Tamandua tetradactyla: one gene and its partners. The protein of the gene in region 4 interacts with the protein of the main gene of each other region in a pairwise test. Links are inferred from orthologs where the notes say so. Each region holds a gene or a part of one and is shown on either strand. Other genes may lie near its edges.

Evidence for each region.
Region 1: the proteins of PSTPIP1 (region 4) and PTPN12 interact in binary tests that used the Homo sapiens proteins (3 or more experiments, as listed by UniProt). The link is inferred for Tamandua tetradactyla from reciprocal best matches to the Homo sapiens genes PSTPIP1 and PTPN12.
Region 2: the proteins of PSTPIP1 (region 4) and CD2 interact in a two-hybrid assay, tested with the Homo sapiens proteins (2 studies listed by BioGRID and IntAct). The link is inferred for Tamandua tetradactyla from reciprocal best matches to the Homo sapiens genes PSTPIP1 and CD2.
Region 3: the proteins of PSTPIP1 (region 4) and TULP3 interact in binary tests that used the Homo sapiens proteins (3 or more experiments, as listed by UniProt). The two-hybrid records come from large-scale screens. The link is inferred for Tamandua tetradactyla from reciprocal best matches to the Homo sapiens genes PSTPIP1 and TULP3.

Annotation. Positions count from the first base shown.
Region 1 is NC_135327.1:140,471,613-140,479,233, reverse strand, and holds the start of PTPN12 (tyrosine-protein phosphatase non-receptor type 12), read left to right. Parts: upstream 1-4,609; 5' UTR 4,610-4,658; coding exon 4,659-4,757; intron 4,758-5,147; exon of another isoform or gene 5,148-5,279; intron 5,280-7,621. UniProt on the Homo sapiens protein: Dephosphorylates a range of proteins, and thereby regulates cellular signaling cascades. Dephosphorylates cellular tyrosine kinases, such as ERBB2 and PTK2B/PYK2, and thereby regulates signaling via ERBB2 and PTK2B/PYK2.
Region 2 is NC_135337.1:4,206,750-4,213,707, forward strand, and holds the start of CD2 (T-cell surface antigen CD2), read right to left. Parts: upstream 3,018-6,958; 5' UTR 2,878-3,017; coding exon 2,817-2,877; intron 2,674-2,816; coding exon 2,383-2,673; intron 1-2,382. UniProt on the Homo sapiens protein: CD2 interacts with lymphocyte function-associated antigen CD58 (LFA-3) and CD48/BCM1 to mediate adhesion between T-cells and other cell types. CD2 is implicated in the triggering of T-cells, the cytoplasmic domain is implicated in the signaling function.
Region 3 is NC_135333.1:65,027,679-65,034,815, forward strand, and holds the start of TULP3 (tubby-related protein 3), read left to right. Parts: upstream 1-4,125; 5' UTR 4,126-4,202; coding exon 4,203-4,243; intron 4,244-7,137. Other genes in the region: RHNO1 (RAD9, HUS1, RAD1-interacting nuclear orphan protein 1), read left to right, coding at 414-581, 1,650-2,201. UniProt on the Homo sapiens protein: Negative regulator of the Shh signaling transduction pathway: recruited to primary cilia via association with the IFT complex A (IFT-A) and is required for recruitment of G protein-coupled receptor GPR161 to cilia, a promoter of PKA-dependent basal repression machinery in Shh signaling.
Region 4 is NC_135340.1:89,855,738-89,863,746, forward strand, and holds the start of PSTPIP1 (proline-serine-threonine phosphatase-interacting protein 1), read right to left. Parts: upstream 3,003-8,009; 5' UTR 2,846-3,002; coding exon 2,810-2,845; intron 2,417-2,809; coding exon of another isoform or gene 2,260-2,416; intron 2,102-2,259; coding exon of another isoform or gene 1,767-2,101; exon of another isoform or gene 1,734-1,766; intron 1-1,733. Other genes in the region: uncharacterized protein LOC143656381, read left to right, coding at 1,767-2,101, 2,260-2,416, 5,292-5,350, 5,528-5,670, 6,382-6,539, 7,201-7,404. UniProt on the Homo sapiens protein: Involved in regulation of the actin cytoskeleton. May regulate WAS actin-bundling activity. Bridges the interaction between ABL1 and PTPN18 leading to ABL1 dephosphorylation.

The DNA of each region.
Region 1 (7,621 bases), on a different chromosome or scaffold from region 4:
CCAGATCATCTTGCTGTACCAGGCCATAGCGTCGTAGCAAGTCTATATGGATTGGTTAACTTGGGCCAAGGGTCCAAATTGGCAGCTGTGGCTAAAGACAGGCAGGGTGATCAATTTTCCTGAGAAGAATGTTGTGGCCTAGGTAGACTATTCTGAAACTTAGCTTATCATATGCCATTTTAAAAACCTCTCAAACAAGATCTCTTTTTCCCTTTATTTGCCTATTTCCATGAATGATATTGCCATTCTCCCCATCACATGAACTGAAATTGTAATAATATTTTAATTAAACAGATTTAATTTTGTTGGAAAAATAATTCATGCACATAGTAAAATATTCAGAACATAAAAGGGTATACACACTGGTAATTGTCTCCATTCTTCCAAAGAGCCCCAAGGCCCCCCAGGGGCAACCACAGTTAACAGGTTTTTTAAAGTATCCTTCAGAAAAATTTTATGTCATGTTCAAGCATTTTAATCCACACTTTAATTTTACATAAATGGAAGAATACCATAAAACTATCTGTGCCTTGCTTTTCTCATATAACAAGTAGCTCTTGGGCCCTAATCCATATCAATATATGTAGATCTACTACAGTTTTTCTTTTTAACGGCATCACAAAACTTCATTGTATATATGTGATTTTTATCCAGTGCTTTTTCGATAGGAATGTTATTTCCAGTTTTGCCCTTACAAATAAGGCTGCAATAAGTACCTATGTTTGCACACACCTGATCTATAGGGTAAATTCTGATGAGAAATTTTGAGGTCAAAGCATGAATTAATAATTTTGATACATTTATTTCCAAGATGCCCTCCAAAGGTGTTGTGACAATTATTCTCATCTTCTGTGATGAGCATGCCCATTTTCTCCAACTTTCAAAAGTTTCGTGTTCTGCCAAACACTGTGATCTCTGCCAATTTGGTAATTTCAGTAACTTTAAATTTGATCTACTTTCTCTTAGTTACCTGGTTTTGTGAATGCTTCCAAAATGTCTCTCCTCTTCATCTGCCTTTGTATTTGTACTACTACAACTTTAGTTTCACTTTTGCTGCTTCATGTATTGACTCCTGATAGCTCATTCTATACTTTTCCATTATTAATTCCCAATTTAACAATAAATGATGCCAAATTAATATTTTACTAACTTGCATAATTTTACTTATATCCTTAGAAACCTTTGGTGGCTCCTAATGCCTACAGAGTTAAGTCCAAATCCCTTAACCAGGCATTCAATGCTTTTCAGAGTCCAGTCCATCTACTTTGGAACCTCTGTCCCCACACAAAAGTTCTGCTTCAAAATTTTGCTTTGCTGTCTTCATGCTTTTTGCCCCATCACTGCCCTTATTTGGACTTTTTCCTCCCTGGTCAAGCCTAATTTCACTTATCCTTCATGGTTAATCCTTCATCGTTAAACTCTTGGTTACTTTAAGTCATTCTCTGACAACCTAGTCCACAGTTCTCTCTCCTCAGACTTCTTGCTGCTCTCATGGTCTGTAGCATTCATTTGACATTTATTAACCTAGAGTAACCAAGAGTTTATTGTCTTTTCTATCATCTGAATTAAGATATTAACTCCTTAGGAGAAGGAGCCATCCCTAAAACATTTTTTGTCTCCCACATACACAGTATAATTCTTCCCATATTGAGGTGCTCAAAAAAAATACCTGTCTGTTAAAACAAGTCCTAAGTATATTAAACAGGAGAATAAACTAGCTAGATACCAAAGAAGTACACTGCTAATTCTTTCAAAAAAAGTAGAAATCCAAGAAGGTACTTCACATTTGTTTTCCCTAATCTACAGCAGATGGCAAAAGTGTCTGCTGAGAATTCACGAAACACTCAGGTGTTACTAGAGAGAGAAACTTTCCAATAAGAGGAAAATAAAAACAAAGGAAAAAAAATTAAGAAAAAACTCTAGTCAACGGACATTGGGAACTTCTCCTGGAGCTCGTGTGCTGTATTTGCTAAACAAGGATCACTGATGTTGTCTCCAATGCATCCAACAATGAGCTATCCACACCAAGACTCTGGTGAAGTATTGCATTGTGCTACTGACAGCACACTGTTAAGGTAGTGATATATGAGTCCCTCTATGCACTAACCCTGGGCTACAAAAAGGGGCCAAGCTGTCTTTTGAGGGGGAAGTGAGTTTAAACAAAAAGTGATCAAAGAAAATTCAGAAGAAATATGATGAAAGGAAAAAGATCAGCAGTGTTCTGTAGGGGCACTTCCAGCTGAAGAAGCCTCTTGCATGCACTGCTTCCAGGCCAGGCTGGTGTGGTGGAGCAGATGGCTTTGTGCTGGAAAGCAAGGAGCTGGAGTTCTATTTGAGGAAAATCAAAGTCTGGAAAGGCAAATAAATTCTCCTCTCTCCCATCCTACCTTATGTAATAAAGGTGTTTATTGTTCTTAAAACAACAACAAAAAAACTAGCCAAAATAGGACTCATGACCTCTGACAAGCAACACTTCTCATCAGACTGTCACTAGACTGATAAACAACTTCTTCAGCATAACTAGTCCTTTATCTATCTGGTTTGTACAGTCTTTGACATATCAAAAGTGGAGGCACGCTTGCTGATCTGCCTGCTTTTTTGTCATTTCTCTCTAAGTTCTGGGGGGGAGAAAAGAGAGTATCTACACTGAGTTATAATGTAAGATGATCAAGCTAGATCCTGACCTTTACCCACACCTGTGAAATCGAGTCTCAGTAATTGGTTGAAATAAAACACTCCAGATCCTTGTTTCAAATAATATCTACCTTAGAAATTAAACTACTTCTGTAAGTGATTTTTTTTTTTTTGGGGGGGGTGCATACTTCAGGAATCGAACCCGGGTCCCTCGCATGGAAGGTAGGCATTCTAACCACTAAAATACCCGTGCACCCTAAGTGAATTTTTAAAATACAAAACTATATCTTTTTTACATGCATATAAATGCATGAGAAGAGATTTGGAAGAGCACACAACTTCTAAGTGCATACTTCTGGGGAGGGGTTGCATTAGTTGATTTTTTTTTTAAAGATAAAAATTTTTCTTTAACAAAAGGAAACTGTATCTTATTACTCTCACTTATCTTCTTCAAAGAGTTTCTCATTAAATTCCATGATGCCTCTAAACATTCATTTGGGAAAAATGACCTGCCACTGTTATTTCTTATTTAACCCAATTTTCTGAGTAATCCGATCTGTAAAGAATGTTGTTTGAGGGTTTAAATGACCAAAATACGTCCACGGATCTAATCCTTCACTTTTGTCACATTATCACAAGTTCGCATTGCTTAGAGGCAATATGGTATCGTAATGAAAGCAAAAGGACTTGAGTTCTAGTGTTATAGCTCTGGTAAGAACATGCTGGAGGCCCCTTAGTAAATCACTTTATTTGGTGAGTTAGACCAGAATGGATAACCTCTGGTTACTAGAATTTTAAAGACGTACAAAGACTTATAAAGTCTATTCTATGGAGAAAGTCTCTCATGCAGTTCTAAAATGCTGTCAATTTAAAAAGACGACAGGTTCCTTTAAACTTAGTAAACAGTGAGCCCCTACGACATGCATGGTATACATTAGGACGCATTACGATTCTCAGGCGCTCACTTGCCAGAGCTTAGGTGGATTTGTGAAGAGAAAATCCTTTCAATCAAGAAGCGTTTCGCTTCTCTTAGCCGTAAGAATCCTCCAAAGTCTTAGGTTGTTAAGGCCTTATAACAGTGAAGGCAACATACCTGCTGTGAACGTGGAAATGGCATTACTACAGTTCCCAGCATGCCTCTTTCCACCCCCGCCCCTGGAAGCCAGCAGGCCCGGACTTAAAACGGTGGCGGAGCCAGCGTCGAAGCATTCTTGTAGTAATCTGCTTCCCCCCGCCCTCTGCCCTGAGTAAGCGGTGAGATCGCAAGCTCTAATTAACATCATACTCCAACCCATGAGACTTAGTCCTAAGAAGAGTTCCCTCCTATAGGGTAACCAACACTCTTTTAAGGTTTTCTCAGACCTGGGCGCTACCGGGACGGGGCCACGCCCCGGAAGTGGAGTCGGGTCGCTCACCAGATCGCCGAAGTTCCTTCCAGCCACTCCAAGCCGAGCCGCGGCGCTGGGCGGGCCTGGGGGCGTGGCCTTGGAGGTGGGGCGAGCGGGGGCGTAGCAGCGCGGCGCGGCGCTTGGGGCGGAGCCGCGGTGCGGGGCCGCGCGTTTGGGTGGCGGCGGGGGCGCGCCGTGGGGTAGAGTCGGCTGTCGCTGCTAGTGGTAGTGGTAGTGGTGGTGGTGGTGGTGCGGGGGGAGGAGAAACTGGGGACGGGGGGAGTAGGGCGAGCGCAGAGCGGTGTTCCTGAGGCGGTGGCGGCGTCTCCGGAGGAGGAGGAGGGCGGGGAAGGAGGATGGAGCAAGCTGGGGGCTGGGGCTGGCGCTAGCCGCAGCACCTCGGCTCGTTACTGTGGGAAAGCGGCGACTGCTCCTGGAAGTTGTGTCGGGAGCCCGGCCGGGTGCCGCCGCTGCGTCCCCTAGGGCGGTGGGGAGGAGGAGCGGCGGGGATTGGCGGGGGTCGGGAGGGAGGAGACGCGCAGCGGGAGCGAGCTGGGGAAGACGGAGCGGGCTCTGCGCCGGGCGGGCGGGCGGCGGCGGGGGGGCCAGCGACCGCAGCCAGGGGGACGCGGGAGGATGGAGCAAGTGGAGATCCTGAGGAAATTCATCCAGAGGGTCCAGGCCATGAAGAGTCCGGACCACAATGGGGAGGACAACTTCGCCCGGGACTTCATGGTGAGTCTCTCACCTCGCTGTCGGCTCCTCTCGAGGCCACTGAAGCCCACCGCAGCCTCGCCGGGCCGGCCCGAGCCGCCAGCGCTTTGTGTGCTGCTGTGAGGAGAGGGGCAGAGGGGGCGCGCACCAACCCCAGGGGCCGTCTTGGCCGGGAGCCCGGCGGGAGGTGATACTGCCTCCGCCCCTAGGTCTCCTTTCCCCCTCTCCCGCGTTCGCGGCCCCTTCCGCGGGCTTCTGAGGCGCGAAGGGAGCGGCCGCTGGGCCGAGTCCTAACCCGGCACCGTTTCCTGCGACCACCTATTGTTTCTCGGGCCTGGAGCCGGAGGCGAGTGAGGTGCTGACCGAGAGGACTTGCCTTTCCACACCTCCCCACCTAGCCTGCCCTTCCCAGGAGGGTCGAGGCAGAGTGTCGGGCTGTGTCCGGGGTGGGGAACCGATCCGGCTGATGGAGGTACCAGATTGTTGAGGTCGGCGTTAACTCGTGGGGTCATTTTGCCCAAGCAAGTCTCAGAGGTGGGCAAGGTAGGACTTCTGCCTTGTCTGGGTTCGCAGTTAATGTCCAACGCTTGCAAAAAGGTTTTCCATAAGGAAATCGGGGTTCTTATAATTTTCCATTTATCCCGGTCCCATCTCTCCTCTCCTGAGACCCAAGTTTGAGGTGGTCTTAGGATCCGTTTGACTTTAGGTTGGGGGGGGGGAGTGTGTGCGTGTGTGTGGGGGTATCCTGAAGGAAGCCTACTTCGGACACCCTAGGGGATATTGCCAAAGGCGGAGGGGATGTGACTATCACTTCCTATCCGGGGTGGGGGTGGGGAGCTTGGGAACAATAGTTCTGGCGGGGCGGAGGCGACTATCTGGGCTGAAGCCCTGAACTGGGAGATAACCTTCTCAGCCCCCCGCCCCTTTCCGCCTGCTGCTCCTGCGGGCGGGCTTATGAGGTGAGGGTTAAAGTCTTGTTCGTGAACTTGCTCTACGATACTTCGCTGTGAGGGGAGGCAGATCCGAAGGCGTGGGACCAGAAGTCGACTTCCTATACTACATCCCCCCACCCTCCACCTTTTATTTTTCTGCTGGACAATGTTCCCTCTAGGGTTGTTTCCCGGTTTTGGAGGCGGTGGTTGTGGCTATTGCTCCTACGGATATTGCGCAAGACTGGGGCGTTGGAAACCCTGGAGGTCTGGGGATGGAAAAGGAAGTGGGACTTTGGGAAGTGGTTGCTTCTTAGCCTTGGCGGGGGTTGGGGATGGGAAATAAGCCGGGGAAAATTTAGCCTCTGGATGAGGTACACCTCCGAGAATAATCCTTTAACTCCGAAATTCGATTATAAAAAAGATACGGAGCTCAGGTGTAGAAAAATGAATGGGCAGCTGACATTGGCTGGTTTTTGTTTCAAAGTACAGTTGTTTTCAAGGTGCAGGTGAAGTGACATTTAGTACTGAAATACTTTATAACATTTTAAAAAGACTTTAGTCTAGAAGCTTTAGCGTTAAAATTGTTCAATTTATAAAATAGATCCTTGACCTTACATAGTATTATAATATTGTTGAGCTTTGTGATTCCTACTTCTCCAGGTAAGTAGTAGAGGACAGGAATAAGGTTTTGTTAGTATCTTTTGAAGACTGAAAGACAGAAATTAAATAATTTGATTATGTGTTATTTGAGACATTTTCTCTTGCTATGTAACCTAAATATTTTTGAAATATTACTTTTGATCTGAAGGGGGTAAAGAAAGGAGTATTTTCTCCCCTAACTCATGAGAATTTTTATTTGTTGATATATTTCAGGTGTCATTTTCAGTAATTGGTTGGTGTTCCCTTTTTATTATTCTCTAGCAAAAATAGAAGAAAATATTTACTTGGAATATTTAAAACATTGTAAACTTAAGTCTTGGAAGACTAGATGGTATAGACCTTGACTGGCCACTTGTTTGCATTCTAGCCATATTGTTTTCCCTGGATGCTCTATCCTGTCAGAAAAGAGCATTGTTTGGTTTGATGATGCAGGCCAGGACAGGTGTGCAGACTGTGAGCTACTGTACAGGGGACTTAGCCTTAGGATTCGTGCTTTAGGGATGAATCAGGAATTCTTATTGGAGATTTCATTCCTTGAGGATTAAATAAGTTTCCTTTTTATTCCATAATACCTAGAAATAGCTAGGTGATTCTGCATTTGAGATTTGATAACTGAGGCTATTCTTACACAGTGTTGTGTGTGTGTGTGTGTGTGTGTGTGTGTGTTGGGGGGGAATTACCTGACTTATAGTTTAAGCAATAAGCTATAATTAAGGCTGTACATAGTGCCATTTTTTCCTTTGACTAAAAAGCTGGAGAAAGACATCTCCCTACCTCTGTCCCTTTGTCATGGAAACAGAATAGAGGGTAGGGCTCATATTCTGTGGTGTTATTCTAAATTCTAATGCAAATCAGAAATTGTTTTTAAATTTACTTTGAATATTGAAAACATCTTAAACTGAAGTCTTATTATGGTTATGGAAGAATAAATGCTATAGACCTTTAGCATTTTAGAACTGAAAGAGGTCATAGAGGTTATCTAGCTATTACAACCCCGTTCCATTATAATATTGCTTATTATTTCAGATTTACAAATTATAGAATAACAATTAGTTATGTCTTATGCTTAGAAAAGTAGCATACCAGCTCTGTCTGACTACCCAGTCTTTCTATAGTCTACCCGACTACCTCTGATAATGTTTTTAGTGCTTCCATGTGTCAATACTACATATACCATTATATGTTATTCATTACCTAATATTTTGGTAAATTTTTTTATTAATGCAACTGCTTTGTAAAAATTTTAAATGGAGTATAATATTTCATCTGATGATTTATTATACCACAACCTTT
Region 2 (6,958 bases), on a different chromosome or scaffold from region 4:
CGGGAAGTTATGTCTTTGTTCATAGCCTCCCTGTAAGGGGGCTCCCTAGAAGAGGCATGGATGGGTCAAAGGGGAGCACTTTATTAAGACCTTCCCATGGCTGAGCATACCATTTACCTGTAAGGTGCCCTCCAAGACCTCTTCAGCAAGAAACTATGAAGCCCATTAGAGAGGGGCAGGGAAGCTGGGGTCTGTGACTAAAGCCACAAGAGGCATGGAGAAACAAAGAGATGGGGGAGGGCACTCTCGTGGAGCAGACACGTCTCGTGCCCCACGCATGGCAAAGCACATTTACATACGTTGTCTCATTAAATCCCTTAATGTCTTTTGCAGTATTTTTTTTTTTAAACCACATTCAGAGCAGATCAAGAATTCCGCTCAAGCCCATGAGCAAGTATTGGCGACAGGACCCCATACCGAGTTAAGATATTGAGGGATCTTCATGCACCCCCAGCAAACAGCAAGGTGCTCATTACGTCATGGGAGAGTCACTCCTCTTCCGCCAAAGGGTATGAGGTTTCTTTTGGGGGTAATGAAACTATTCTAAAATTGATCGTGGTGATGTTCTCACAACTGTGTGAGCATACGAGAAACCACTGGATTGTACACTTTAAATGGGTGAATTGTATGGCGTGTGAATTCGAGCCATACAATTATATAAATAAATAAAGTTAGAAATAACCATCCCTGCCAACAGGGGCCCTGGGTTTGAATCCTGGCTTCGTTCTTTGGTCTTTATGAGACCTTGGGCAAGTTGCTTCTGTCTGAGTCTCTGCTTCTTTATAGGTAATAAGGGATAATAACTATGTCTTAGGGTTGTTGTTGAGCTTTAAATAAGATGATGTACATGAAGCCCCTGACATCTAGTGGCATCAACTACTGGTAGCCATTGTGGTCACTCTGATATGAAATGAGGCATGAATTGGACAGCACCAGCATGGCTCTGGTTGATTTAACAGGGCCCTTGAGCTCATGCTGGCTGGAGGTGTAGGATCTGTGGCTCCCAGAGTCCTAAACAGGAGCCCCTTCTGGCTCCATTCTCAGCCCTACACCATTTCTAGATTATATTTCCATTCGAGGGGGCAGGACTAGGGTTTCAAAAGTTGCCCTTTGCTTGGGTCCCAACAATCTCTGGGATTGTCGGAGTGGGGCTGCTGTTAAGTCCCCAGGCTGAGCCCTGGCCTGAAAGTGTTACCCCAGAGAAGAGGAAGGGCCCCTGCCTTGGGTGGCATTTCCTGTGTGAAGTACAGAGCTGTTTGTTTGCTCACTGAATCACAGTCTTTGCTGGGGCTGGATTCCTGCCTTCCTCTCCAAGCCAAGTGTCGGGTCATCTTCTCATTTCCCCTTACTGCTCCCTACCCAGTGTCCCTTGGACTTTCAGCCTTGTTATCATTTCAATTCCTCTTTCTCATTCCTCAGTTTATCCTGCAAAGCATCTTGTCCATCCTTTTTCCATTCCCGACCCTCAGTAGGCTCATTCTTCCTCCTTTTACAGGCACCCAAAAAGTAAAGTCTAAGCCAGTGGTTGACAACCTCGATTGCTTATGAGAATCCCTCGGGGACATTTTAGAAATGCGCCCAAGCTGCACATTGAGAAATTCTGATTTTACCAGACTGTGGTTGGGCCTGGGTGCCGAAAACTTTTAACGGCATCCCAGCTGATTCTAAAGGACATGGTTAAGAAGCACTAGCCAGCCCCTCCTCATTTCACTTGGATTATAGCAGCACCTTCCTGGCTGGTCTTCCTCCCTCATCTTCAGTGACCACTCCTGCCCTCCCAAAACGCAGACATACAAAGGCACACCCTGTGTATTCTTTTTTAACACGCATCAGCAAAAATCTCTGTCCACCTTCAACCACTTTGATGCTGGGAGGACAGCAACAAGGACCTGCCTCCTCAAAGTCATTGTTTCCAGCCCTTTCCTGCCATAGAACGACTCCTTTTAGGGCACCTGGCTTGAAATTTTCTATCTGAAAATTTGCCGCTCTCTACCGAGCCGCTCCTTCCCTTCCCCGCACCCCTAACTGCTTGGCTCATCATGCACCTGGGACGGCCACCTTTTTCTCTGTTCACTTGTTCGCTTCCTTCTGATTAACGCCACCTTAATCCATGTTCTTGAACCAGTCCTGCATCCCCGTAGGCACCGGAGAGTTTTAGGCGGCTGAACTTGAAGGCCCATCAACTGTTTATTTCCACATGGGTGGATTCCATCTCTCCCACCAGCCTGTGGTCCCCACTGGGACAGGAGACGTACTTTAGATTTCCCTTACAGCTCCCCAGGAGGCCAAGGGAAGTGCTGGGGACATTCCATAAACATTATTAACCAACTTGCTAAACGGGACCCTTGCTGAAATGGAGGAATTTAAAAAGCAAAGACTTACCCAGAGTCTTCAACGTGAATGCTTTTTCCAGCACATGTTTTCCATTCTCATGATATACATTTACTATGTAGGTATTGCTGTAATTTCTCATCAGATTTTTAATTTTCAGAGTTCCATTCGGGAACACCTCGTACGGGTACGTGCTAGTTATTTTACTTTTCGTGAATCGTGCAATCCTGGTATTTCCAATTTTCCACTGTATATCACCCGTCGGCTGATTTACTAGAGAATCAGGAATGTTCAAGTAGAACTCACGGCCGAGGGCACCCCAGACCTCTTTAGGGACTGCACCTGTGAAAAGCAAGAAAGTTCCTGAGATCTGAAGATCCACTGCCAACACAGGTTGGGCTGTGGTCTCTTCAACTCTTGCACACGCCACAGGGTCTCCAAAGAGGCTTTTAGCTGTGACGATAGACACCCACACAGTAACTTACCTTTGGCAGAAACATGGAAAATCAGAAGGAAGCTGGCGAAAATTTCACATGAGAGGTTCATCTTTGGGGTTAGTTTCCTTGTTGTGATTCTAAGCTCTTCTTGCAAAAAAAGAATTGAAGCAGGACTGGTGGAACCCACGCCCTGAGAGCTTAACCATGTGCCCCGCTTTTTTTAGGTCCTTTTACAGGAGTGTAGAACAAACACACACACACACACACACACACACATACACGCACGCAGGCGCGCGCACACAAACAGAATCAGCAAAATAATGTGTCTGACGCTCTCCTTTGCTAAAGCAGGTGTGTTCGTGAATATGTGTTTTCTAATCATGTTGGGAGCTTCACAAAAATCTTGGGTGGGTTTCATTATCCCCACTGAAGAAAAGAGGAACCGAGAGGCTAATAAATCACCCAGGAGCAGCCTTTAGTAAAGGAGGGATCACATTCTCCCATCCAGCCCGTCCTCTATCCACTTTACTGTGTTGTCATTTAAATATGAGTAAATGTTTGTCAGTGACTAGCAGAATACAAGCGAGTATCCTACGATGTTGGAGTGTTCTAAAATTGTTTTTGTGATTTAAAAAAGGAAACAAATATGACTTGATTCTCAGCTATAAATGCTTGGAGTCCCCAAATCTTATGTTGCACTATACATTTTACAACTCTATTGTAATTTCCACAGTTAAGTAAACAAAAACTTGTTCCAAAACAACCAAAGAAGCATAAAAACTATGAAATACTATTAAACAACCCGAACTAATGATTTAAAAACGTTTACGACAATTAACATTTTAGATGGTTAAGAGAAAGGGATGGATATGGAGAGAGAAAAACAAGTGAAAGGGAACTGGGAGAGAGAGAGAGAGAGAAAGGAAATTTGTAATACAAAAAAGAGAAACAGTGAGACAGAGATGGATGCTCCCGGCGAAAGATTCACAGATACCCCAGTCATGGGACATCAATGACAGATTTCCAAAGTAAAAACGACACATTTCCAAAGTTAATATCCAGTTTTATAATTCTTTAGGATACAGTGAGTAAAATCTTAAAAGTTGTGCTTTTTTTTTTGTCAATTTCAGGTAAACTATGGATATTATCTCTGAAAAAGTCCAGGAAATGAAATTAAGTCGAAGGAAAGGATCTCTACCATTGGGTAAAGGGAAGCCTAACTGAAATACTTACCTCACGGTTATGTGAAAATTCCTAACTGTCAAATCACCCACAGAAAAACAGTTGGATTAAAGTTTTAAATGTTAAGAAAACAAAAAAACTATAAGAGTGCAAAAGAAATATAGAAATCCATTTTCATTTCTTTGCATATGGAAGGTCTTTCTATAAAAAATTAACTTTCTAGAATTAATAAATACAGACATGAAAATTCAAAGTGTATGTAAGCCAAAAATATAGTAAACAAAATGAAAAGACATGACAGAAAATATTTTCTGTCTATGTGAAAAATTATTACCTAAGATATAGAAATAGTTCCTTATCAATCAGTAAGAAAAAGAACCTGGTTTTTAAAATGGGCAAAGGACTTGAATGAACAATTTATAGAAGAAATATAAATAGTTAATAAACATACAAGAAGTTTAACCTCACCTATATTTATGTGTCTAATAGTACAAAATACCATTTTTTTAACCATCAGATAGGCAAACTGAGAAGATCATTTACATTATGGACAAAAATATGGGGCAAAACAAGCACCTTCATACAATATTGGAGTGAGTGTAAATCATTATCTCCAGGGAGGGGTCAGAATTTGACAATTTTCACTAAACTTTAAAATATATATATTTTTAAATTACCCAGTAATTATATATTTAAAATTACCCAGTAATTTTAGTTCAAGAAATCTGTCCTATACAAATGTTTGTGTAACATGCAAAAGTTTCGTTCAAGGATGCTTGTTGTAGCATTTTTGAGTAACAAAAATTTGCAAACAATTAAATTATGGTATATTCAGTTTATGAAATATTCTATAACAGTTCAAATAGAATGAAGAAGAACAAAATTAAGACATGGAATGATACCTTTGATAAATTACATGATAATACATAAAGTTATCAACTTCTGTGACGTTTGAACACATTTTTTTTAAATTGTGAAATATAACATACATACAAAAAAGCCATGAATTTCAAAGTACATTGTAACATGTAATTATAAAACAGATTTCAGAGTTTGGTATGGGATATAATTCTATAATTTCACAATTTCCCTTCTAGCTACTCCAAGATACTGGAGACTAAAAAAAAAAATGTCGATATAATAATTCAGCAGTCATACTCATTTTCTTAGCTCTCATGGAATAAGTGGAAAACAGCTTTCAGTTCTTCTTTTAGAAATATTCATTCTGTCCCTCTCATATCTAACTCAAAACAGCATGAGGTACGTGGCTTGGAGAGGAGAAACCATGAATAAGAAAAGGATTGATATAAGTCTGATTACATAAAATTGCAAACCTGTTTGTAAAAAAATTAATGCTTAAACTGTACAGAGTTTCTATTTGGGTCGATTGTAAAGCTTTGGTAATGGACTGTAGTGAAGATAGCACAAAATTATGAATGCAATTAACAGCGCTGAATTATGTATTTGAACGTGATTAAAAGGAGGGAAATGGTAGGTTGCATATATATTATTAGAATAAAAATTAAAAAACAAACATAGAACTATAAACACAAGCAATGAGCCGTGTATAACCAATGAGGCTTTGGACTATGTTTAATGTACAATTGTTAAAATGTTCTTTCATGAATTACAACAAATGTACCACACTAATACAAGTGTTAATAATAGTGTGCTATATGAGAACGCTGTATTTTATGCATGTTTGTTTGTAAACCTACAACTTCATTAATTAAAAGAAAGTCATAAAAAAGATTAAGAGATAAAGTACTAACAGGGACAAATTTATTTGTGGGATATGTGATAAAGGTTCATATCCTTCAAATTAAAATTCTGTTATGAACGTAGAAAGAAAAGACGATAACTTGATGTGGTGAAGATCATGAAAGGAACATTCACAAAAAAAGAAAGACAATAGAAGTATAAATCTATGAAAACATACTCAATTTATTAATAATCGAAGAAATGTAAATTTAAACATAGATGTCATACATTTTTCATCTTTCATAACTTACAAATGAAAATATACAGACAGTGCTGATGATTGCGGGGAAAAGGGCATTCTTAAATACGGTCAGGAGAAATGCAAATAGGGACGCAGTTTCTGGCTGCCAACTTGTCAGTCTGAATCAGAAGCATCAAAAACATTTTATTTAAATTTTGTCCTAACAAATCCACAACTATGATTTAATCCTAAGGAAATAATGATGGAGACATCCTAAGACTTGGTTATAAGTTTATACACCGCAGCATTTTTTGTATGTCAAAAATTGTCAGCTTAAATAGTCAATAGAAGGAAATTGGGTGAGTAACTCACCATATGGACAAACTGGGATGTAAAAAAAACAGGTTACAAAGAAAAAAACCAAAAAACAGTAAAGTCACTTTTTTTTTTCCTTAACAAGTGTGTGTGTGTGTCTGTTGGAAGGATTTCCTCCAGGCATTGATCCCTGAGGGATGGATAATGGTTACTGTTTTGTTGTTGATATTGTTATATTTTTCAATTGAACATGTGTCGCTTTTTAATGCCTTTTAAATTCTAAGTGGGTCCCCCAAGCACTGAGGGAGGGTGCAGTCCCTGATTTAGTGTGTGTGATTTCCGGGAAAAATCTGGTCCAAGACTCATCCTCCCTTACCACCCTCACTGCAACTGAAGGGGCGTGTCTTCACTTAGCATCTTGAACCATTTTTCTTACCCAAACTAACACTCCCGGTGAAACAGAGTAAAGGGACGAGATTAAGCAGCAGAAGAGGGAAGAAGGGCAGGTTCTTAGAGGTCTTGCTTCGGGGCAGCTTCCTGTCCCCTCAGTAGCAAAATCGTGACCCCCAACTCCTGTCTGCCTCCCTGCGTGTCACCCTAAAGTACTAACTGAGAACCAGGTCCCTCGCTCAGCACTGTGGCCACAAGACCCGTTTTCTGTAGTTCTTACCCAATCGAATGTCCTGAATCAGGAGCTTTTAGAGCAGAAAGACCCTCAGGAAGGGATCGGATTGCCTCTCCATGCTTCCCT
Region 3 (7,137 bases), on a different chromosome or scaffold from region 4:
GCCTCTCAGCTCCTTGAAAACAGGGATCTCTATATTGCTCTACAAGTGTTTGGTAGTCAAATGCGTCTTGAATAAATGGCTCCCAACACCCTGTATGGTACTTAACATGTGTTCAATAAATGTTTATTAACATGTGCTTAATAAATTTTTATTGAATTAATGTTGTTGAATATGAATCATTGTATTTTTGCTTGCTGTTATAGGTGTAGGAAGCTTGGTCCCTATGACTTTGAGGTGGTAGTTTTTGTTGCAATAGGTTGCCTGGGTATCAGGAAGAGCTACAGAATTATCTGGATTATTTTCTCCCAGCTTTTGTTTCTTCTCTACAGGCATGGGTTGGAATTGGAGCCTGTCACCCCACCTGATTGCAACCAGCATCATGTGGTTGCCAACTGTTCTGCATTCATCTGTTGATGCCGCCCAGAAAAAAACGCCGCCAACGATCCCAGAAAGCTCCACTGCTATTCCAGCAACAACCACTGGAGGGCCCCAAACACCACTCTGGATCCCCACAGCTTCCCATCACCCATACTAAACGGGTGCCCAGCAAGCCTATTGATCACAGCACCATCACTTCCTGGGTAGGTTCATAGGATTCTTATTTTGACTTTTACTCCAGTAGGTGTCTCAGAATGCTAACCATTGAACAAGGACCTCCAAAGAATAAGATTTTTGGGGTGCAAAAGACAAAGAAGCATTGTATTCTTTCTGTTTTCAGCCATCTCTTCTTTTTTTCTCGTTTTAAACTGAGACATGGGTTGGTTAGAATTGTTGCCTTTCCCCCTACATTCCTCTAAAGGAGTTCAGTGTAAAGCTTTCACCACCCAATAGCCAGAAAAATGACAAGAATATTGTTCCCTGAGTTTCATATGAGAAGTGGAGTACTCAGGTATTCTCTTTACTGTTTAATGGATTGAACTTTGAAAAACAAAATGCACAGAAATTGGATATGTGATAATTTAACTATTTAAAAGCTCTGGAATAAGGGATTAGCTACTATATGGCATGGAAATAGTATAACAAAAGGGCTAGACAAAAGCATAAGCTCTGTTTAGTTAAGAGTGACTAATAAATAAAACTTGGCCAGGACTGCTTGGAAGAACTGTAATACTCACTTGAGGATTGTGGAAGAAACTTAAATTTTAGAGTTCTGTGGACGAAAATAAGAGTGAATATTTATTGACTACTTACTATGTGCCAGACCCTATGCTGATTGTTTTACATACATGATCTCAGTTCCTCATTCATGCATTCAGCCATTTATTATTTCCTGAGCGAGGCACTCTACTAGGTTCTGGGGACTGTGATGTGAACAAGACTGCTGTTGGTCCCTCCTCTCATGAAATATAAAGATACTTTAAAAGTTGCAGCCATATTGTGTGAAGTCAAAGAGACATTGTTCCTTTCTTAAGTATAAGGAAATAGCCAGAGATTGATTTTTTTTTTTTTTTTTTTTTACCATAGCTCATATCCCTTTCTGTTACTATGCCACTAGACAACTGTTATTTTTCTATTTCTATTACCAAAGTCGGCCCCCGTATAGGATTCTGGTCACTGGATGTCAGTTCCTGGTTATGGTTTGTACTTTCAAGTTTGTACTTGGCAGTTGGTTCTCTTCACTTCTTTCTCTTTTTTTTTTTAATCCTTAGATATTGCCTGAGTTTGACATGACAGCAGAAAGTTGGTATCCAGTCAACCAGAAATGTCATCACCAAGACCAGGCAAGACATTCAAGTCGCAAATCTGCCGCCTCCAAGTTTCCACAACTAATCTTTGAGAGTCCACAGTCTTCTTCCAGTTCAGTGACACTGGAGATCCCCTTAAGCAAGAAGGGCCCTAGTCAACTGGCAAAGGACATTTCTGGAAGGCCCTTAGTTCCAATGCTCAGCCCCCAAAGTAGTAGGGAACTGTCAGTGCATGCACTTCAAAGTCCAGGTTATGTGTTCATTCCACCTGATATCCAGACCCCAGAGTCATCTGTGAAAAAACCCATTCACCCAGATCAGAGGAAGAACAGCCTTCCAAGCTGCTCCCTTCACTCTAGTACTCCCAAGAATGAAGGGCCTGGACCTGCTCTAGTTAAAGACACTCCTGAAGAGAAGTATGGCATAAAGGTCACTTGGAGGAGACGGAAACACCTATTTGCTTACCTCAGGGACAGAGGGAAGCTGAGCAGAAGCCAGTTCCTTGTGAAAAACTGACTTATCAGATAACAGCCTCTTTATTAAGAAACACAAGAAATTGCTGATTTTCATAGAGTTGCTAAAGTAACTTTTCTGACTCACAGGAAGAGTACATCAATAGAATAAAATGGAAATAACACCAAATTAAAAAACAACTTTAACTGGAGCCCTGTAACCAAAAGGAAATTAAACTCCCTGATTAGCTTTTTAAAATACCTTGTTTCATAAACAGTTGGATTTAGTGCCATAAACAGTTTACTTCATATTTTTCTTATATTAACTGTTTAATTAATTTTAAAATGGCTTTTAACTTTAAAATGTATGTAAATAAATGGTTGCAGAAAGTTTTCAGAGAACTGTGCTGCTCATTGTCAGTAATGCAGCAATAGTGCCCCACTCACAAAAGGTCTTTCTTATTTCCTTTAGCCACTGCTCATTAATCCGTTATCTCTTTTAGACCAATTCATTCCACATTTTGAGAACCAACTCTGTGCCACGCTCAGTGGCAACTTCCTTTATGACTGGATGGGCAGAAAAAAATCAAAGGAAACGCATGACTTTTTTATAGTTGAGCTGCCGTCTCAGCACCCTGGCTCATCTGCTGAAAGAGCAAGAATAGGACAAGTTCTATTTTCATAAATACAGTGGGACCAGGGTAGATACAGACATAGACAAGTTACTTAGGCTTGCTTAGGTTTTGACATTTTTTTTCCCCCACCAAAGAAATCTGTAAACATTAGGTAGGATGGGAAAATGATTTCTTGTAGCTGTTTAAAATGTATGAAAATAAAGTGCAAAGTTTTCAGACATGATTACTTCTTGTTGTAACTAATGCAGAAGGGCTGCCCAGTCAAGAAAATGTCTCAATTGTCCTTTTACCCATACAAATAATGTCATTCAACCCTATTCACTCAGTATTTATTAAGAATCTCGTCTGTGTCAGATCCAGCCCAGCTTATTATTCTGCTTATTTTATAGAGGGGGATTTGAAGCACAGATCATGAACCATGTTCAGGTTCACTGGATGAGTGGAGACTGACCCAAAGTGTTCAATGCTCTGCTCTCCTAGCTTATGTCAAGTTCTATGTCTCTTAAAAAAATCAACTTCTGGATTCAAAATTAATGTGGAAATAACTTTGACTTTGGAATGCAATAAACTAGTCAGTGTGCAACAATAGTGGTGGTAAGAAAGGAATTGATGGTTGAGGACAAGATTTATTGGAAACAATGCTATCGTTTTAGATAGTGGATCCCATTATGGGACATGGATGTTTGAAGATGGTCTATAGATTGGAGAGAAAGGTGGATGGAAAAGTTTCTGGATTCTCTTGTGCTTTAGGAGAGTGTATAGCAGGTCTAGGAATGAGCTAAAAGCTTAGGCTGGAGTGGGAGAAGCTGAAGTTTTGGGCAGATGTGAGAAGCAGGTGAAAAGTGTGAGGCCAGGAAACTAAAGGAAAGATGGATTTAATTGGCGGATATCAGCTGAGGAGGGTACTTGCGTGTTTGAGAAGAAGGCCTTCGTTTTCGTGGAAGGAAAAAGATTGTGAGAGGGTCAGCTGGTCTGTAAGTCCTTACATTACAGATCTCTGGCAGCGCCATGGGTGGTCTTTGGGAGTACCGGGAAGCCACTCTGGGTGGTGGCTAGTGGGGGTTGGGCGGCTCCTCAAAGGGACTCGCATCTCCGTCGCGGGAAACCAACGGCGCAGTGGCAAAAACATCCTTCAGCACGCAGCCCTTCCCGGCGCAGCGCTCCAGGGGACCAGGCCCTTGCGCGTCATCCCCGCTCCGGCGCAGGCGCCTTTAACTCTCTAGTTCTTCCCTCCTCTTAGAAACCCTCTCGCATCCCGGTGGCGGCAATAGCCAATGAGAGAGGAACGGTAGGCACATGGACCAATGGGCGGTGGTGACAGTGCAGGGTGTGGTTGCCAGGGGGCGGGGCCCGGCTGCCTGCCAGTCTTGCCAGCCTAGCAGCGGCGTCTACGAGTCTGGATGTGATTGCCACTTACTTAGCAGCGGGTGATGGAGGCGTCGCGCTATGGACGTGGACCCAGTGGGGATAGGTAAGAGATGGATTGTGGCTAGTCCCTTCGCGAGCGAGGCGGGGAGACGAAGTGAGAAAGTGGATGTCCTGTCCGGGATGTCTGAGGGGAGAAGGCGGTGGGCTCCTCTCTGGGAAGCGATCTCTCTCCCTACTCCCTGGGACAGGACCCCTTTTAAAGTGAGCAGAAGAGCGCGGCGACTCGGCAGCTTTGCCCATCAGCAGAGGCTCCTCCCCGCCTTGGGAAACTCTTGGAGTTTTCGTTCCGAGCTCTCATTGCTCTGGAGGGCCTCAGTTTCCCCTTATTTAAAATGTATTAGCCCTGCTCTTCACGCACTGCCTGGTAGTTTAATAACTGAGATTGGATACATCCTCTGCTTTCCGAGGATGTCGAAGCAGAAGGTTGTGAGTAATACTGGATACTTTGCACTAATGCTGAAGCTTTTGCTAGGCAGTGCTGAATTCTGGAACAGTTGTTCCAGGGCTGAAAATACAAAACTCGTTTTCTTCTGTCTGCTTTCTAGCAGTTATCTCTTACTCGGGATTTTCTGTCTTTTTATAAACGTACCATACCCGTTGTTTGTGCCCCTCTTTCTTTCTCTTTCGTAACTTCGGCCTCCGCCAGAGGGAGAGCCTGGAAAATAAAACGATCTGAAATCTCAGCCTGCCAATTTCTTGTTAGCCAGATTAATGAAAAGTTAATGGGGATCGGTGTGAAATCATTAGCTTAAAACTTGACATTGTCTGAGGATTTAAATCATACACACACCATCTGCTTTTTAAAAAATTATTATTCCATTACTACTGCGAATAAAGATTTGGCACGTAAAGATTCAGGCTGCTTTATTATTTTTTTCGTTTTTATTTGTTTATTTATTTAGTCTGTTTTTTACTAGAATAAATTTAAACAATTCTAAACCATTTTTAAAAATTGTCACTAGAGAGGTGTTGGGGTAGAGAACACTCCTTCCTCCTTCATCAGGTTCTATTTATGTGATAGTGGCACTCTCAAAATGTGTTTACAACACTTTTTTTTTCCAAGTGGAGAGAAAAATAATCCACACTTACAAGTATAAATATGGGAATGCTAGGATGAGGTAAAGGTAATATTCAGCTTCTGTGGTTGAGTTCAGATGGTACTTGTTTAATTGTGGACACTCAATAAATCTTAGTTGAGTTTTAAAGCTATAAATTTCATAGTTATCAGATGTTTGATATGACTCACAATTTTTGGGAAAAAAGTAATTAACTTTGAAATTGGCATCTGGAGGCAAATGGCTATAATTTATTGGAACTGAAGTTTGAGATTTAAATGAAGATAAACATTTCTTTTCTTTTTTTTCTTCCCCAAAACACAAGCTCTTTAATTTTAAAAATTGAAATAAAAAAAGAAAAATAAATTAAAGAAAATTGACATCAAAGGGGAGTGTGTGAGTCACCAAATATTTCTCTTGCGGTAGGTAATGTTAGTGCAGCTTTTCAGTTTAACTTCTTTGTTGCTAAGAGGGAGTGAAGTTTATCTCTTGCTGTGTTAGTTTCAAGTTGTGTCTTTAAAGTTTTTGATGAAATACATTGATAGAGTCTTTGATATTAATGTACCTGAGAAGTTAGGATTTAGGGGATAAGTATTTGATTACTGAATCGTTATATAGACATTGCTTTTTTTCTTTCTGGTTTATTTGAGTAGACAGAGGGAGATACCTGAAATCTCTGAACTGTAATCCATCTGCCTTGATCTCTGATAATGAGCCTATATATAGCCTTTATCTTATGCCCTTGTGATTGTAAAAACTTTGTGGCTGACCCTCACTTGTACTCATTTTATCCGGTTTTTTGACTCTAAAATCTTGTGATCACTAACCCTCACGTTTATTATTGAAGGGTCTTGGGTCAGCCCAGAATGCATGCACCCCAAATCTAAAGTTATCTTGATAACCGAAGCTGGCTCTGACCTAAATGGGCCTGCCTGAATGCATAGTAGCTTGTATTTTAACTTGTAAATCACCTGTACCTCATTGTAATATTAAAATTCATGCCCATCATTATATTAAGGCCACAATTTTCTTACATATGTTCTTTCACTAAACGTGTAATGAGTCTGCACATTGTCCTGAAACCTGCCTATCTTTTCATACTATAAAACTGTCAGAATTACTGCAGTTCAGGGAGACAGATTTGGGGTGGATAGGTCATCTGATCTCCTGCGTCGTACCTAGCAACATTTTTTTTCTCTCTTTGAAACCCGTGTCTTAGGAATTGTCTATTGAACGCATACGGCAGAGAGTGTACCACCTTTGTTTAGTAACATTAATACCTTTCGATGTGAAGATGATATCTGCCTTTCAAATTTCCTGTGATTTTTTTCTTCTTTGACTTATGTGACTGTTTTAACATAAGACAGATTTATTTTCAACAAAGTAGAAATATTAACAGTAAACTTTAAATGTTTTTCTTGTATCTCAAATGTTTAGTGAAAATTGGAGATAGAATTTGAAGTAGCACTCTGAGGACCTTTGTTGAAGCTGGGCATTTGTATTATAGAATTTCTGGAGAGGATAGGGATTGGCTAGGGAGAGAACTTTTTTTTTTCAGGGAGTATTATTTTATTAAATCATGCACATTATGTGTGTTAGGGAAGTTGGTTTAATCTGTATTAGAGATTAAACTAACTTGAGCTCTATCTGGCCTTTGTGATAAATAATTTGTGATACAGAATTGAAGGTATGGTGAGAGACTTCCCAGTGTGATCTTGTGATCCAGACTTGGGTCGGAAAATCCTGCTCTGTGGTTTAAACAATACATCAGGATTTCTCTTTACAAATATGAAAAGCAGTAGTGGCCTGAAGTTATGTCCTGGTTAGTCTTATTATCTGCTCCCATGCCTTTTTTTTTTTTTTTTTTTTAGTGTCTCACCAG
Region 4 (8,009 bases):
TTATCACTTGTCTGTGTATAACAGAGATCAAATTATTCCTTTCCTCCCCCTGCTTCGAGTCCACTCCACCTCACTCCCACGCTGACCTGCTGCAGATAAAAGCTGGCTATAGATAAACACTGTGTGGCCGCACGGACAAAATTCCAATACAGGCCTCCTAAGGGACAGAACCCCCACACTGAACGGCCCCACCACTTCTGAACCATTATGTCTGCTTTTCACAATTTTTCCATCTCCTTTCTGGCTATCAGACTATAAGTCATTAGTGAAATTGCCTCTAGAAGCTCAGGTCCCCCAACATTTATGATCACCAGCTACATATCAGATATTGTGCAGACTCCCTCCTGAATGCTGCCTTAGCGGGTTAAAGACTATGCGACCAAGCTTGTTGGAACTGCAAGGAAAATCAGAGTTCACAGGCCCCGACCAAAAGCCGGGGGCTTCTACGAGTAAGCGGTGATGCAAACTGTTAGGGACAGCAGGTTTGGCGACTCAGAAACCACATTTGCTTTCCTCCTTGCCCAATTTCACCCTGTGTTCGGGCCAGAAGCACGTGGTAAATGAAGTGCTGTGGAATGAGACACGCTCCTTCAGGGGTTTCCTTCCATTATTTAAAGCCTAGTGATTGTCAAGCAGTGCTCTGCCGGGCTGCAGGATGAGATGGCATTGCCTCAGGCTGGGGGGCACCGCAGGCTGGGCTCTGCCCCTAACCCACTCCACAGAAACACTGCATTGCAACTGAAATGTAAATGCTCCAAGCACCTAGACGGGCCCTCCTACCCCTCTGGGAGGAAGGAAAGAGAGAATCTATCCCCCATCTTGTGGATGTGGGTGCTGAGGCCCAAGGATCTCCAGGTGGAGGGTAGTCTGGGAGCTGAGAGCCCAGCACCACTGCCAGCCTGGCGGGGTCCGATCCTAGCTGTGGGACAAGAGACTTTGGTTCTCTCAGCCTCAACATCCTCCTCTGAGTGATGAGGATAACAATAGCAGCTACTCCATCAGGTGCTGGGAGGACTGAGTTAAAGTCTACACAGCCCTGAGAACAGCAGCTCACACATTAATAGTGCTCAGGAAATGCTACTGTTATCCCAGATCCCAGGCCAGGCTTAACATCATGGAGAGGTGCTAGAATTCAGAACTTGGGGGCAGGTGGTGCTGACAGTGACTTCTGAGGTTGCGCCCAGGCTTGGAATGGGAGGTACCCCCCCCCACCCCCAGCCTCTTCTTTTCCCCCTCCCTGCTCTGGCCTTCCCTAGGGAGGCGGCACCCTCACCCCAGGCCCAGGGAGTCCGGCATGGAGGAGAGGAGGCCCCTGGAGGCTCACAGCCTCTGGCGGGGGAGGGGGGGGCTCAAGCAGGATGCCACACAGGAAGCTGCCTCCAGGGCCCATTTCTTGCTGCTGCTGGGGCTGCTGCTGCCACACCCTGCTCCCTGACATCCCCTTCCCCCCTCCCCATGCTCACAGCCTACCCTGGGGGCAGCTCCTTGCCCCAGTTCTGCCGCAGGGAAGGTGGGCTCAGGGACTCTGGGCTGGGATAGATTTCCTAGAGAGAACAGTCTGGGTCTGCTGCATTTCCAGGCCCTTTTTCTCCCCAACCTTGCACTCTGGGGCCAGGGCAGCGATATGGTGACTCATTTCCTGGTCCCCGGAACCCCCTGTCCCTCCACCCCTTAGCTGCCAGCTGGGCAGGGAGCACCCTGGGGTTTGGAAGCCAGAGCTGCCTTCACCAGCTTCTCTGAGCTGGCTCCACCCCCTCTTTGTAGAGATGGGTAAACGGAGGTCCAGAGAGAGGCGGGGCGGCCTCCCCGGGCTGGGCCCTCTGCCCGCCCTGCGGCCAGCGCCGGCAGACAGCAGGCTATTCACTCAGCCTGGGGCGCTAAGCACAGCGTGGCCCGGAAGGGGAGGCAGCCAGGCCCGCTGGCTCCGTCCCTCCTGGCAGCTGGCCCCAGGGAAGGGCCCGGGGAGGGCCAGCGAGCCCTGTGAGGGGCGGGCTGGAGCTCTCCTGGGACAGTCACATTCCCGGCTCAAACCACAGAGGCCCCAGCTTCCCCCGCCCCGGGAGCCTCCGAGGACGGCGGAGCAGCAGGGCCCGGGGGAAGGGTGAGCGGCGGCTGCAGAACAGCGAAGGGGCCGGGTGGGGGGCGGGGGGCGGGGCGGCCCGGGCCGGCTGGCCAGGTGATCCGTGTCACCTGCCGGAGCGGGCCAGGTGCCGCAATCCCGTGGCGCCAGGACTTGTTTGATGCCTGCGCTGAATTTAGGAAAGTGAGCAATGAAGGGCCCAGCCCCCTGCTCCTCGGAGCCCGAAAGCCTCGAAGGGAAGAGGCTCTGCGTGCGGGGACCGCTTGTTGTGCCAGCGGGGGCTGGGCCTTCATTGCACAGAATCGCCCCGTTCCCTCCTCCCAGGCCTCTGCACAGGTAGGGAAGCCGGGGCTCTGGGACCTCTAAAGACGTCTTGCACAGACAAAATCTGACCCCAAGTTTTTGTCCGGTCCCCAAAGCTGTGATCCCCCCTTCGCCCCTCAAGCCCTGCACCCCTGCATTAGACTCTCCTAGAAAAGGTCCTGCCGGCGTGGAGAGGGTCTTCCACGTTCACAGACGGGGCGGTGACCCGGGGCACAGCCACGACAACGAGAACCACAAAGTGGTGGCCCCTGCTTTTTTTTTTTTAATGAGAAAAAGCTCCGCGGCGGAAGCCACATCCACGGGAAATTTCGGTGGGGTGGGGGTGGGGCTGGGGTCCTCCCCCTGACCCCCGCCCCGCGCCCCGGGCGGTCTCCACCTGCGCGCGCCCGCGGCGCCTTCACTCACCCAAAAGGCGTCTCTGAACTGCAGCTGGGGCGTCATCCCGGCTGGCGGCGGGGTGGGGGTGCCCGCGCCCCTGTCCCAGTGCCGGCCCCGGAGCCCTCCCAGCCCGCGCGCTCTGCAGCGGCTCCGAGGCGAGGTGCTGCAGGGAGGAAAGGGGCGCCACCTGCTCGCTGCGGGCCACGATCAGCAGCCAAATGAGGAAGGAGCCCATCGCGGGGAGGGCGGTCCCGGGGCGCACCCCGCCCCCGAGCGATCCGCGGCGACCCAGCGCGGGGCAGACCCGGGCGGGGAGCGGGCGCACCCCCGGGGGGAGGCGGCGCGCGGGCCAGGCGGGCAGGCAGCTGAGGCCGCGCCGGAGGGTTTGTGCAACCTCCCCCGGGCGGGCCCCCGGGCCCCCACCCACAGGAAGCGCGGTGCTCTGCAACCCCGCGCCCATCCCGCCGCCACCTGCCACGCTAGACTCCCCAGCCGTCGCCAGCGCACCGCTCAGGAGGGCGCCCCGGGCCTAGGCCGGCCATCGGTCATCAAACCCTGCTGCTCCGGCCAAGCCCTGGCCTCAAGGAGCTCATAGTCCAGACACAGACCCAGCTGGGCCAGAGGGGCGGGGAGGGGGGCAGACGTGGGAGCAGATGGGGTGAGCAGCGTCTAGCCTGAGACCTTATGAGACTGCTCACCACCCCCCCCCCACACCCACCCATGTCTGCAGATTAGACCCTCTCCTGGCATGGAGACCCTTCTGAAGATGGAGTCTAGAGAGAGGAGACAGAGAGAGAGAACTAGAAAGACACAGGGGTGGGAGTTTGAAAACAGGTGGCGGTCCTGTTTGTTTTGTCTGGGCTCTACCCTTCAGTGCTAAGGGACCTTCATCCACTCTCTGATTCCCCGGCCTCAGTTTCCTCATCTGTCACCCCCAGTCTTTGGAAAGGACAGAGTTTGGAGAGCATTTGTGGAATTTTCTGGAATGGTGGGGCAGGTGCTGGGGGCAGAGTCAGGTATGGTGTTGGGAGGAGCCCTGGTCTGGAGCCCAGGCTCAGCCCCAAGGACCCGGCACCCGCCCACCCAGCAGGAGATGCCCGCAGGGAGGCCGGAGCCCCGGCAGTGGCAGAGGGCATGGGTCAGGGGTTCTCCACGAATCCTCAGGCAGATGATAAGACAGAGGAAACTGCTCTGGGGGACTTGGCGAAGCTCCCAAGTACCAGGTACATAGGCCCGGGCTTTGGAGGGCAGGGGTATGTCCCAGAGAGAACGCATGGCACGGGCAGGGGGGAAGAGTCGCCGGGCAGTGGGGCTGGAGCTGCTCTGCCGACCTGGGACACGTCCTCCTTCCACACCCCTGGCCGGGTGAGCTGCTGATCAGCTTCAGCACTGAGGACCCTCCAGTGGGGTTTTCTGTTGTTTGCAGTGAGACAGCTAAGATTGTAAACCTCACCTTGAGCCCCAGAGGCTACAGCAGAGGCTGTGAGTCTCGCCCCAATGCACCATTGCCCTCTTAGCACTGACCCAGTCTCCCTGGGCTCAGTTTCCCCATCCATCAAATGGGATGATACCTCTAATTCCAAAAGTAGTCCGGAAACCCTCTGTTCATAGAGAGCCCTCCACTCTCTTATTGGCAGAAAACTTTGCAGCCAGCCTCCTTCCCCTGCCCCTACTGCCTCCCACAAACTCCAGCTCCCCTCAGGCCTCCTCTCTCTCCGCAAGGGCACCCTTTGCTCTCCCACCCGCACACTTTGCTCCATCGTGCCCTCCCTTCTGGCCTGCCATCCTCAATCTTCCTTACCTGGGCAAACCCTCCCATCCCTCAATGCACCGGAGCCCTTTGACTCTGCTCCACCCCGATGGGTGCTTGCTGGCAGTGGACTGGAGCAACTGGGGGAGGATGTGATAGGAGGAACAAGTGGAAAGATTTTAAAGTTCTCTGCAGAGAGAGGTCCCTCCACCCTGCCCTTTTGCAGCTGGCAACCAGAACAGGCAGCAACTGCTTTGGAGCCCTGATGGTGTGTGCAGTGCACCAATGAGCTTTTTACAGGGCCTGCCTCATTCACTCCTCACCCAAGCCTGCAGGCCGCTCTCTATTCTTATTCCCCATTTCGCAGCCAAGGAAACCAGTGATCAGAGTTTATATGACTCAGCCTCACAGCCGCCAAACCCAGGACTGTCACCTCCAGTTATCTCACACCAACAGGTCTCTGTTAGCAAACGGTTTTGTCCTTCCTTTCTCTAGGGCTGTGCCCAGAACCTGTCACCCCACCTGACGGATGGAAAACCTAGCCCAGGGAGGCTGTTGGGGGTTGGTGGTGCTAAGGGGATGAGAGCCCAGCCTTGGCACCTGGTCTTCCAAGTTCACTGTGGGGTGAGGTTCCTGGCACTGAGGAATTGTACCGTCCCCCTCCCCCGAGGGCTCCGGCGGCAGGACGCCCCCTGGGGGTGTTCTCAGGAATGCAGCTCAGTCTCTTGGCCATTCTCCCCCTTATGTCTCCCTTTTCAGCTGGTCCCCAAGATGCTACAACTGCTCTGGGCTCCAACTCCAGACCAGGCATGTCTTGAGTAAGAAAAGGGGCATCTGCCCTTATGTCTCATTTTCTCCAAGCTCCCAGAAGACCTCCCCTTGTCTCTCGTTGGCCGGAAGTGGGCCACATGCTCATGCTCTGCCACCACTGGCCGCAGGGATGTGAGCCCTCGTTGGGGTGCTATGGGCACTGGCCATCTATCTGCCTACCACAGGTGGCTTCTTTCCACCGAGGCCCACAGACCCGGGCAGCACCCCAGATCAGGCCCTGCCAGGACTGGGGAGCAGAGAGGCCAATCCAGTCTCCACCCCGAGGGGCCCACGGACCAGCCGACAGGTTCTAGAAAGATCTCTTCAGGTGGGAGTGGCTTGGAGAGACAGGCAGAGGAGGGGGTTGTGATAGCTCTCAGAGAGGGACTAGGCCTGGACGGGGCAGCTGGGGTGGGGGTGGGGGTAGCAGAAAGGAGGCGGCTGCATGCCCCTTGGAAACGGGAGCTGTTCTTTGCCCCTACCCTTACCAGCTGCCCTACCCTCAATCCAGCCCCCCAGCCCCCTGGGGTCAGGGTGGGGACAGTCAGCTCCTGAAAAGTACTACTTTTTAGCAACTGTTGCAGCTGCTTCAAGCAAAATTTGCCTTGAGGTCTGGGCAGTTGTGCCTCAAGTCCAGGCTTGTGAGCCCACTTTTTTTTACGGGGTGGGATGGCGGTGGGGGGAGTTCCCCAAGCAGGCAGAGGCCCATCCTCTTTTGCATGTTATTTAAATCCATCTGCTTGAAGAATTTAAAAAGCAGTAGGTTGAAGATTACAGAATAAAATACAAAACCAATTATTGCAACATTAAACACCACAGTCAGCCGCTGGGCTCAGCTGCAATCCACCATCTCCAGCTGCATAACTAAAAACTTGTAATTCTAGCCGCTATTTAGGGATATGCCTTTCCGTGCTTGTTCTCATTGATTGCTCACTGCCAGGACAAGTTTCAGAAGGCCAGTGTGGGGACTTAATTCAAAAAGAAGGGAGAGAAATGCCATTACAGGTACTAAAATGTACAACTTTCCTTTCTTCCACAGCCTCTTATCCTGCTCTAAGGGCCTCTCCTCCACACGGTAACTTCTCACGTAGAAGCAGCCCTCCTTCTCCACCGATGACTTCCTGCCTGGTAGACTGGGCATGTGTCCACAGTGGGACCATGGGTTTGGCTCTCAGCTTTTCAGCTGTAAAATGGGAGGTATTTCTCCTCACCTGCGGGGCTGATGTGAGGGCCCTGTGAGATGCTGCCTGTAATTCCCCAGCTCAGAACCTGGCCCACAGGGGGTGTCACTCTCCTTACTTCCTTTTGATGTGAGGCACTTCATGCATTCCACGGTTCAGAATATTGTAGTGTTGAATGGGTGATGATGGATGGATGGATGGATGGGTGGGCGGACAGGTGGATGGATGATGGATGGAAGGACGGATGGGTGGACGGACAGATGCATGAGTGGATAACAGAATGAATGATTGTGCCGATCAACAGATGGATGGGTGGAGAGACGACAAAGTGCAGAAAAGCCTGAAAGCAAATAAATGCCAACTTGAAGGAAATTTAGCGGAGTCCTCAGTGGCTGGAGATGTTTTCAAGAGAAACTGGTCTCAGGGATGAAGCCGATGTCAGACAGGAGAGCAGAACTGGGTTTCTAATTTGTAATCTAGAAAAGGTTGGCGCCCTTCTGAGGAGGCAAAGAGGCTGAAGAGAAGGAGCATCTGATAGCCCCGTGGTGGCCTCTGAGGAGCCAGGAGTCCCTGCCATGAGTTTCACTTGGGAGCAGCATCGCCACTGATCTAAGAGGCGTTTGTTTTGTTCCTCTCTTTGCTCGAGTCCCATCTGGCTAATACCTTCTGTTCTGCAGACAGGCCAGGCGACACGCGACACGCGACACTGGGCACTCTTGGCTCCTTCCTCGGGGGAAGAATCTGCCCTGAAGGAGCAGCCCTGGACCGGTCAGTGGATCCTGGCTAGAGCTGTGAGCCGACACCGCCACGACACTGCCCGCGGCCCTCAGGTTGCCTGCCCCACCATGGCTGAGCTGGAAAGTTCCCGTATCTCACCATAGTGGTCCACTGTTCCCGGGGGAGAAGCCTGTAGGGTCCCCCTAGGTGGCCAGAGGCATGTGTCCGCTGAGCTGCAGCTCCCAGCCTCAACCCCACCCAACAAGCCCCTGCGCGATGCAATTCCACCAGCCCCTGCTGAGCCTCTCTGTCTGGAGACATGGAAATAAAGAAGGAATTTCCAGAACGTCAGTAGTAAATCTGGGGACTAGTCACTACTGGGGACATGCCAGCCTCTTCATAAGCACTTTACTTGCCTTATGTTTCACCTAATGCTCCTATCCCTGTGTCTTATGGTCCTCATTCAACAGATGAAGAGACTGAGGCTCTAATAGGTTAGTCAACTTGATGGAGTCCCACCCACCACTAAGGGGGATCTTCTCTTCCCCCAGTTTAGGGCTGGGGGTGGCGGGCTGGGGCAGGGCTGGGGCAGATGCCAGATGAGGAGGAAGGGGAAGGAAAGGAGGTGCCCGGCTGAGGGGAAGTGAGGCAGCGAGGGCCGGGCTGGGGGGAGCGGGCGGTGCGGGGGGGTGGAGACTCAGCTCCTGTGTGCGACACCAGGAAGCAGTCGTGCCCTGGAGTACCCTCCCCCGCCGTGGGGGCCGCGGGT